Linked DNA regions of Macaca mulatta. The protein of the gene in region 1 interacts with the protein of each later gene in a biochemical or structural test. Links are inferred from orthologs where the notes say so. Each region holds a gene or a part of one and is shown in the gene's direction. Other genes may lie near its edges. The genes, in order: ZFP36, MAPKAPK2 and YWHAB.

Region 1 (4,443 bases):
TCCCCGCCCCCCAATAGCGGGACCACAGGCGTGTGACACCGCACCCAGCTAATTTTTGTATTTTTGGTAGAAACGGGGATTCACCATGTTGCCCAGACTGGTCTCCAACTCCTGAGCTCTCGTGATCCGCCCGCCTTGGGTGCCCAAAGTGCTAGGGCTACAGGTGTGAGCCGGGCAGGAGAGTAACTTCACTTTGGTTTCCTCCTGCCTTAAATAGGCATACCACCTAGCATTAGGATGAATGTGCGTAAAGCATTTAGAACTCAGCCTAGGTGAGTTCTCCTTAACTCAGCCTAGAAGAGATCATCTGCCTGAGGATGAGGGGCTAGAGCCGCCCTGTGACTTGGGAAAGGAGGCCCCTTTTCAGCCTTGCTAGGTATCCTGGACCCCAACCCACTCACTCACCCACCCAACCCCAGCAAGTGGGGAGAGGGAGAGCAGTTCTGGTCTCATCTGTCTGGGCTGTTTAGGAGTGAGACAACACAAGGCAGGCAGTTCTCAGAGAATTCCCCTCCAAGGCCTGCCGGCTCTTTCTTGGCACTTTGCTTGGCAGATTTCTTTCTGTAAGTGCTTGTTTCTCACAGTCTTTCTCCTTTTTGTCCAGTTTTTCTTTTTAATTTTTTTAAATAGTATTTTTTGTAGAGATGGGATCTCACTGTTGCCCAGGCTGATCTTGAACTCCTGATCTCAGGTACTCCACCTGCCTCACCCTCTCAAAGTACTGGGATTGGCCGGGCTTGCTGGTTCGCACCTGTAATTCCAGCTCTTTGGGAGGCCGAGGTGGGAGGATCCCTTCAGTCTCGGAGGCGGAGGCGAAGATCACCCTGGGCAACATAGGGAAACCCCGTCTCTCAAAAAAATAATAATGAAGAAAAGAAAGAAAGAAAGAAAAACACAAAAAGTGCTGGGATCACAGGCGTAAACCACTTGCGCTCAGCCCCTTTCTGTTTCTTTTTGTGATCCTCCCAACCCTCTTCTCCCTCTGAATCTGTCTCTGGGACTGTCTCTGTCTCCCCACCGTCCCTCCCCTGCTCACCCTATCTCTCCCTGTATGTGTCTCTCGGTGTGTGTGTGTCTCTGTTTTTCTCTCTGCCTCTCTCCCTGTCTGTCTGTACCCCTCTGCGTGTCTCTCCCCGCCCCCGTCCGTCTGTGTCGCACGCGCACCCCCATCGGGCCTCTGCCCTTGTCAATTGCCCCTGAAGCCCTGCCCCCACCTCCGCCCCAGTTTCCTTCTACACGCCTCAGTCTCCAGCTTTGAAAACTGGGCAGGCGCCCCCCCGATCCGCACCCCCACCCCGACCCCCACCCTTTCCCCACGCACTCCCCGCCCGGTCGCGGCTGTCCACCGGCCAAGCTCAGGCGCGTCCTGGCCCAGGGCCGGGCGGAAGGGAACCAGTCCAGGGCCAGCCGGGCTGCGCCCGGGGCGCGCGTCCGGGAAGCGCCCCTCCTGCCCCGCCCCTGGCCCAGGCCCCGCCCCGTGCTTGCTGTTTAAGTAGCCGGCTCTCCCTGCCAGCCTCAGCCTGACTTCAGCGCTCCGACTCTCGGCCGACTCCCCTCTAATGGCCAACCGCTACACCATGGATCTCACTGCCATCTACGAGGTGAGTCCCCACCGCACGGCACCCCCGGTACCTGCACACTTGACTCCCCAGCTCTCTAGCGCCGCAAACTCCATCCCGGGACGCTTGCCTCTCTTCTCCAACTGGGGCTTCCTAGCGCCCTGCCCTCCAGCCTGGGGCCCCTGCCTCCCGCTCAGACCAGCTTGGTGATTTGGAGGTGAAAATGGAGCCCACGACTCCCGGCTCTTGGCCCAAACATGGGTGGGGCGGCCCGTGCGAGTGGAAAGTCGGAGAACTTTTCTCAGACCTAGGCTGCCTGGAGGCGGAAGTGGCCCCCACACCTGGCTCACCCCTAGTCGTTGCTGAGGGCGTGGTTTTGCGCGGAGGCGTCTCTGGGGCTGAAGTCTCAGGGTTGGGGGGATCCGACTTCTGTGTCTCCAGTCCCTGACCGTAGTTCTCTGAGAACCCTAAAACCGAAGCCATCCGGACTCCTGGGTCAACTTTGCCCGGTTCCTCCAGTTGTGAAACTGGAGATCCTGACGCGTGGGTCATATCTGGGGAGGGCAAGAGACCCAAAATTGGGAAAAAGTGGTGTGCCCTGACTTCGGGGCCCCCTCTTGGTCCAGCCGGGAAAGCCGGGATTCCTGGGTCCCTCGGGATAAGGCCTCGGTCGTGGGTAAACTCAGAACCTCCAAATCTGGGTTCCTGGCATCCGGAACCCAGGGGTTTTTGCAGGCGGGTGGGGCTCAGGCCAGGAGCCCACAAACCGGCCTGGCAAGCTCTAGTTCCCTGCAGCTGGGGTGGGGCGTCGCCCTGCATTTTCGGGTACCTTAACCGACCCATTTCCGCAGAGCCTCCTGTCGCTGAGCCCTGACGTGCCGGTGCCATCCGACCATGGAGGGACTGAGTCCAGCCCAGGCTGGGGCTCCTCGGGACTCTGGAGCCTGAGCCCCTCCGACTCCAGCCCGTCTGGGGTCACCTCCCGCCTGCCTGGCCGCTCCACCAGCCTGGTAGAAGGCCGCAGCTGTGGCTGGGTGCCCCCACCCCCTGGCTTCGCACCGCTGGCTCCCCGCCTGGGCCCCGAGCTGTCACCCTCACCCACTTCGCCCACTGCGACCTCCACCACCCCCTCGCGCTACAAGACTGAGCTATGTCGGACCTTCTCAGAGAGTGGACGCTGCCGCTACGGGGCCAAGTGCCAGTTTGCCCATGGCCTGGGCGAGCTGCGCCAGGCCAATCGCCACCCCAAGTACAAGACAGAACTCTGCCACAAGTTCTACCTCCAGGGCCGCTGCCCCTATGGCTCTCGCTGCCACTTCATCCACAACCCCAGCGAAGACCTGGCGGCCCCGGGCCACCCTCCTGTGCTTCGCCAGAGCATCAGCTTCTCCGGCCTGCCCTCTGGCCGCCGGACCTCACCACCACCACCAGGCCTGGTCGGCCCTTCCCTGTCCTCCAGCTCCTTCTCACCCTCCAGCTCCCCGCCACCACCTGGGGACCTTCCACTGTCACCCTCTGCCTTCTCTGCTGCCCCTGGTACCCCCGTAGCTCGAAGAGACCCCAGCCCACTCTGTTGCCCCTCCTGCCGAAGGGCCACTCCTGTCAGCGTCTGGGGGCCCTTGGGTGGCCTGGTTCGGACCCCCTCTGTACAGTCCCTGGGATCCGACCCTGATGAATATGCCAGCAGCGGCAGCAGCCTGGGGGGCTCTGACTCTCCTGTCTTCGAGGCGGGGGTTTTTGCACCACCCCAGCCCGCGGCAGCCCCCCGGCGACTCCCCATCTTCAATCGCATCTCTGTGTCTGAGTGACAAGTGACTGCCCGGTCAGATCAGCTGGATCTCAGCGGGGAGCCACGTCTGTTGCACTGTGGTCTCTGCATGGACCCTAGGGCTATGGGGACTTGAGGGACAGTAATCAAGTAATCAAGTAACCCCCTTTTCCAGAATGCATTAACCCACTCCCCTGACCTCACACTGGGGCAGGTCCCCAAGTGTGCAAGCTCAGTATTCATGGTGGTGGGGGATAGAGTGTCTTCTGAGGTTTTTGACCAAAAAAAAAAAAAAAAAAAATGTAGCATATTTAAGGGAGGCAGTGAGCCCTCTCCCCACCTCTTCCCTGCCCAAATCTGTCTCATAGAATCTTACGTGCTGTGAATAATAGGCCTTCACTGCCCCTCCAGTGTTTATAGACCTGAGGTTCCAGTGTCTCCTGGTAACTGGAACCTCTCCTGAGGGGGAATCCTGGTGCTCAAATTACCCTCCAAAAGCAAGTAGCCAAAGCCGTTGCCAAACCCCATCCATAAATCAATGGACCCTTTATTTATGACGACTTTATTTATTCTAATATGATTTTATAGTATTTATATATATTGGGTCGTCTGCTTCCCTTGTATTTTTCTTTCTCTTTTTTTGTAATATTGGAAACGACGGTATAATTATAAGTAGACTATAATATATTTAGTAATATATATTGTTACCTTAAAAGTCTATTTTTGTGTTTTGGGGCATTTTTAAATAAACAATCTGAGTGTAAGCTGGGATCCTGGCTTCTTCGCGGTCTAGAGACAGGAATGGGGAGGTAGAGGGTGACTTTTTGGAAGCTGGGTGCAGTCAACTCTGCTTCTCCGAGCCTCGCGGCGCTTACCTGGCAGGAAGTGACGTCACCGGGCCTGGCAGTTCACCTGAAAGGGTGGGACCAGGTGAGGTCACCAGATGGGAACCGGGGGAGCCAGTTCCCGGGCGTCGGGGGCGCTGCGCTCCCGTCCTGCCGGGCTCCTTGACCTAGCTCTCGGGCGGGCGCGGGCGGGGACTGAATGTTTCCGTCCCCACGGGGCCGCGGGAGGCGGGAGGCGGGAGGGGCCGGGTGGGGAGGACGGAATGTGCCG
Region 2 (2,304 bases), on another chromosome or scaffold:
GTCTCTCCTTCCTGTCTTCTGGCTCTCTCTGTACCTTTCCTGGTGCTGCTGTGCCCCCAGGAGGAGATGACCAGTGCCTTGGCCACAATGCGCGTCGACTACGAGCAGATCAAGATAAAAAAGATTGAGGATGCGTCCAACCCTCTGCTGCTGAAGAGGCGGAAGAAAGCTCGGGCCCTGGAGGCTGCGGCCCTGGCCCACTGAGCCACCGCGCCCTCCTGCCCGCGGGAGGACAAGCAATAACTCTCTACAGGAATATATTTTTTAAACGAAGAGACACGGAACTGTCCACATCCGCCGCCTCTCCTCAGCTGCATGGAGCCTGGAACTGTGTCAGTGGCTGAATTCTGCCTTGGCTCTGGCCACCCCAGAGTGGGAGAGGTTGGGAGGTTGGGAGGCTATGGAGAGAAGTGAGCAAGGTGCTCTTGAACCTGTGCTCATTTTGCAATTTTATCAGTAATTTGACTTAGAGTTTTTATGAAACCTCTTTTGTTGTCCTTGCCCCACTCCTCCTCTCCACCAGACGCCTTCCTCTCTGGATACTGCAAAGGCTTGTGGTTTGTTAGAGGGTATTTGTGGAAACTGTCATAGGGATTGTCCCTGTGTTGTCCCATCTGCCCTCCCTGTTTTCTCCACAACAGCCTGGGGTCGTCCCCACTGGCTCAGGCGTTCTGGGAGCTCAAGGCCACCTTGGAGGAGGATGCCATGCACCTCCTCTCTCGGAGCCCTCAGACATCTCCAGTGTGCCAGACAAAAAGGAGTGAGTGTGTGTGTGTGTGCACACGTGTGTACGAGTGCGCAGATCTGTGCCTGGGATCGTGCATTTGAGGGGCCAGGGGCAGGCAGGGCTGCAGAGGGAGACGGCCCTGCTGGGGCTTAGGAACCTTCTCCCTTCTTGGGTCTGCCCTGCCCATACTGAGCCTGCCAAAGTGCCTGGGAAGCCCATCCAAATTCTGAACCAGGCCCTCTGTGGCCTGTCTCTGTTCGCTGGGTTCCGGGAGGCAGAGAGGAGTGACCGGGCACTGGCACAGCGATCAGGAAGACTGGACCCCCAGCCCCAGGGCCCCCTTCCCCCCACTTAGTGCTGGTCCTAGGTCCTCTGAGGCACTCATCTACTGAATGACCTCTCTACTTCCCCTTCTTGCCATTTATTAACCCATTTTTGTTTATTTTCCTTAAATTTTTAGCCATTTCTCCATGGGCTGCCGCCCAGCTCATGTGGGTGAGCCTGGGCAGCTTCTGTTGACAAAGCTTTTGCATTTCCTGTGTTTCTCCTGGGTTCTGGGGCATCAGCCAGCTACCCCTTGTGGGCAAAGGCAGGGCCATTTTTGAGGTCTTCCCTCAGATTTCCATTGTGTGGCCTGGTGGGTCAGGGGGAGTCTTTGCACCAAAGATGTCCCGACTTTGCCCCCTTGCCCATCAGCCATTTGCCATCACCCCAAACAACTCAGCTTCGGGGCCGGTGAAGGGAGGGGCCTCCCCCAGCACAGTTGAGGAGCAGCTGGGGTAGGCTCTCTGTGCCATGGCCCCCCACTCCCCCTTCCCTTGGAGGGAGAGGTGGCAGGAATACTTCACCTTTCCTCTCCCTCAGGGGCAGGTGGTGGAGGGGCACCCAGGGTTGCCTTTGTGCACCGGGGAAGGTGCTGGGTGCCTGCAGCGCCTCCCTTGTCTCAGACGGTGTGTCCAGCACTCGATTGTTGTAAACTGTTGTTTTGTATGAGCGAAATTGTCTTTACTAAACAGATTTAATAGTTGAGAGTTTTTCTTTCTCTTTCTTCCTGGGGCTCAGGCGCTAGCCCCCAATGCCTCTGCGTGCAGAGGGGTTTTGTTGGGTGGTGGGGGTGTGGGTTGGGGGTCCTGGGAGAGGAGCAGAGGGCCTCCTGGGCGAGCAGGGGCCAGCACCTCATTGGTGAGGACCTGGGCAGGATGTGTGTAGGGCATCCTCAAAGCAGGACAGGGAGGCTGCAAGGCTCAAGCCCATGTTCTTTTGCCAAATGCAGAATCAGGAGCCAAGCTCTTTTTGGCATATGATTCTTTGACCTACATAACCACCACCAGGTGCTGGCACCTTTAGCCTGTGAAAGCCGACTGGTATAGGCTCCAGGGAAGACGGGGTGCTGGTGAATTTTGTTGAAATCCTGGAAAAGATACCAGGGGAGCAGGTTAGTGTAGTACCGGCACTCTCCAGGAGGTGGTGATAGGGGTCAGGCAGAAACCAAATGCTCTACCTCGGAGCTAGAAGAGAGCTCAGGATTCCTGTGGCCCATTCTCAGTGCACAGATGAGAAGACTGAAGCCCAGAGCT
Region 3 (3,169 bases), on another chromosome or scaffold:
TAAAAATGAACAGTGAGAGCTGCTTTGATGGGAAAAGGAATTCACACTTGGGGACCTACCTCCTTCCCTGCTGGCTCCCTTTCCTAGTTACTGCCCATGACTCCTTTTGAAAACCAGTACAAAGCGTGTCAGCCATCAGGCAGCACCCCTTATCCCTAACCCATTAGGAGTTACACACTGTCTGTCTACAAAGAATATTAAAACAACTACCGCCCCCTGCATCTTCTCACTTTGGTTGATTAAATCCCCTTATAACTAGCTTTGCATTGAGCTTCTCTTTTTATTAGACTCATGGCATAAGAGTGTCATGACTAAATTTGTTGCCTGTTGGTAATTTGGGGGTTTGTTAATGGTGCACTAATTCCTGAATGTTAGGTACATCTGGTATTCAGATGAAGTGTGTCATGCATTCCAAGGGCAAGAAAGTTCCATAATTCATGAAATGTAGACCAACTTTTAAGAGCATCTGAAAGAATGTGAAGAAGAGCTTGGTACTTACTGCCTCTTAACCAGTTTTTCAGGATGCCACATTCTAAAACAACTCTTCGAAAATATTGCTCTGTATACGAAGCTTGGACTCCTTCAGAACTACTTTTGTTGTAAGCATAAATGTTTAAAGGAATTTATTATTAATAGTATTAGCTACTCTTTGAGTGCTTACTACGTGCCAGGCAACGTGTTAAGCGCTTTATGTATGTCAACTTCCTTATCATTATAATTGCCGTAGAAGATGGCTATACCCTAGAAGATGACCCTTCGTATAGCTGAGGAAACTGAGGCTCAAGGTGATTAGGTAATTTGTCCAGAGTCACACAGATACAGATAATAAGTGGCAGAAGAGGGATTTCTACCCAGGTCAGATTGACTTTAAACTTAGTTCTTGGCAGTTTTGCTGTATTATCATCTTTTTCCTCCTAAGGAAAGATTTTTTTCCCCCTTTAATTATAGAAGTAATACCAGTTTATGGGTTTAAAAAGGGTGGGGAGAACAAGTCAGAAGAATATAAATAAGAAAGTAAAAATCACTTCTAATCTTACCACCCAGAGAACCATTATTAACATACTCCTTCCAGGCTTTTCCCTTGTGTATTTGTGAGCATGTACACATATGTATCTTAATGTTAAAATAGGATTCTTGTGGTATTTGTAATCTGCTTTTTTTCACTCATTTCTTTTGAGAGCCTTTCCATTATCGGTGTAGCTCTGCATCATTTTAAAGGCCTACAAAGCATTTCATTGTATGGCTATACTTTAATTATCCCCTATGGATGGTCAAAGTGATTTTTAAAAGAAGAATACAGGCATCTGCTGTTATGACCTGGGCTAAACAACATTTAGTAGCTTGGACGAAAATTGGTGTTTTTTTAATCTTCCAAAAAATTATTTAGAAGCAGTAGTGTGTATCTTGAATCTCAAACATAGTTTTAACATCTTGTGAATAATTCTAAATTCTTAATGTGGATCATTTTTTAGGAGCTGTTGGACAAATATCTTATTCCCAATGCTACACAACCAGAAAGTAAGGTGTTCTACTTGAAAATGAAAGGAGATTATTTTAGGTATCTTTCTGAAGTGGCATCTGGAGACAACAAACAAAGTAAGTAGTATCTTAAGAAATTTGACCAGTAATGGAGCCAGTCTTCGTTCACAGGGACTTTTAACAATTTTGCTTTGTCTGTTTGCCATAGACACCAATGTCACAGTACTAAGAATTTAAAAGACTACAGCATTGTGATGAACGGGGTCATGGGTGGGCAAATAAAAATTTATCTGACAGGGAAATATGGAGGGCATTAAAAATCTGGTGCGCAGTATATTTAAAAAGCTCTTTATCTTGAGTATTATTTATTAGCTCTCTTTTTAGTGGTGAAACTTCTTATACTTGGTAGTATGAAACTGCCCTAGTGATGCATTGCTTTTATCTCATGTATTACTGTGATGCTGATAATCTTAACCACACTTTATTAAGTGTCTATGTGCCAAGTACTTTCCAGTCTCACTTTCTCTTCACACAACCTTACGAGTTAGGTGGCAGGCTGCCCATTTTTCGGATAAACTGAGGTTTATGGAGGTTTTTACTTGCCCAAGCCACAGACCGATGGAGTAAGAGTTGGGAATTAAAGTTAAAGCCTGTGATCTTTGCACTGGAGCATATCGTTTTTCACATTCTGTATTGTTAAAGGTTATAACTGCATTTCTTAACTGCTTTAGTAGACTTTGCCATAATTATTTTCCCCCAAAGCATTTAATATACAACTTGGTTTAGAATAAATATCTAACAAATGTATAACTGAATGGCAGAGACACTGACACCTCATTTGCTAGGTCATTGCTGCTGCCCAATTTGGGATTAAGAAAATAATTTGATAGTTGGTCCAATGTGTGATACCTATGAAAGAACCGAGCCTTTAATATTTTCATCTTTATGTTACAGCCACTGTGTCGAACTCCCAGCAGGCTTACCAGGAAGCATTTGAAATTAGTAAGAAAGAAATGCAGCCTACACACCCAATTCGACTTGGTCTGGCACTTAATTTCTCAGTCTTTTACTATGAGATTCTAAACTCTCCTGAAAAGGCCTGCAGCCTGGCAAAAACGGTGAGAAAGACCCTTTGTGCTATCTAACCATAGCAAAACAGTGCTTGTGTTATTAACTTCTTTTTATTCCTGAACATACTCATTGTCTTGGACTTCTTTTGAAAGATTTTCTGGGGGTGGGAGTGTATCTTTTATGAGATAAATACAGATCTGTTACTTTTTAAATTCATTCTCAATACGTACTGCTGACTTTTGTTTGATTACTGTGTTTTGTGGGGTGGCTGTAGAAAGTTCCAGGTGAATGTAGTTAGTTGTTTCTTGCCAAGCTTTGGGCCTTGGTTATACATTGTCATTCTTGTACCAAGATTTGAGATTATAGTTGTATAAAAGAAATACACACCACATTCTTGTTGTGTGTTGGATTACCTTCCATATTATTCCGTTAGCCTTTTCTACGTTTTTTTTGTAGTCTCTCAACATGCACACACCTTTTTAAAAAAATTATTTGGGAAAGGTGCCTTAAAATTCATCACTTAAATCAGATTTAGTGATGGGAGTTTCACTGTATCCCTTGTATCCAGACCTTTTGAGTTCTAGTTTAAAACAAAAATTTTTTAAAAAATAATTTTAAA

Evidence for each region.
Region 2: of the proteins of ZFP36 (region 1) and MAPKAPK2, one has a biochemical effect on the other in vitro, tested with the Homo sapiens proteins (2 studies listed by BioGRID). The link is inferred for Macaca mulatta from reciprocal best matches to the Homo sapiens genes ZFP36 and MAPKAPK2.
Region 3: the proteins of ZFP36 (region 1) and YWHAB form a complex in vitro, tested with the Homo sapiens proteins (2 studies listed by BioGRID). The link is inferred for Macaca mulatta from reciprocal best matches to the Homo sapiens genes ZFP36 and YWHAB.

The regions. Positions count from the first base shown.
Region 1 is NC_133424.1:50,503,495-50,507,937, forward strand, and holds ZFP36 (mRNA decay activator protein ZFP36), read left to right. Parts: upstream 1-1,517; 5' UTR 1,518-1,559; coding exon 1,560-1,601; intron 1,602-2,410; coding exon 2,411-3,367; 3' UTR 3,368-4,091; downstream 4,092-4,443. UniProt on the Homo sapiens protein: Zinc-finger RNA-binding protein that destabilizes several cytoplasmic AU-rich element (ARE)-containing mRNA transcripts by promoting their poly(A) tail removal or deadenylation, and hence provide a mechanism for attenuating protein synthesis.
Region 2 is NC_133406.1:64,477,125-64,479,428, forward strand, and holds the end of MAPKAPK2 (MAP kinase-activated protein kinase 2), read left to right. Parts: exon of another isoform or gene 1-60; coding exon 61-204; 3' UTR 205-1,754; downstream 1,755-2,304. UniProt on the Homo sapiens protein: Stress-activated serine/threonine-protein kinase involved in cytokine production, endocytosis, reorganization of the cytoskeleton, cell migration, cell cycle control, chromatin remodeling, DNA damage response and transcriptional regulation.
Region 3 is NC_133415.1:97,754,959-97,758,127, forward strand, and holds part of YWHAB (14-3-3 protein beta/alpha), read left to right. Parts: intron 1-1,472; coding exon 1,473-1,596; intron 1,597-2,433; coding exon 2,434-2,597; intron 2,598-3,169. UniProt on the Homo sapiens protein: Adapter protein implicated in the regulation of a large spectrum of both general and specialized signaling pathways. Binds to a large number of partners, usually by recognition of a phosphoserine or phosphothreonine motif.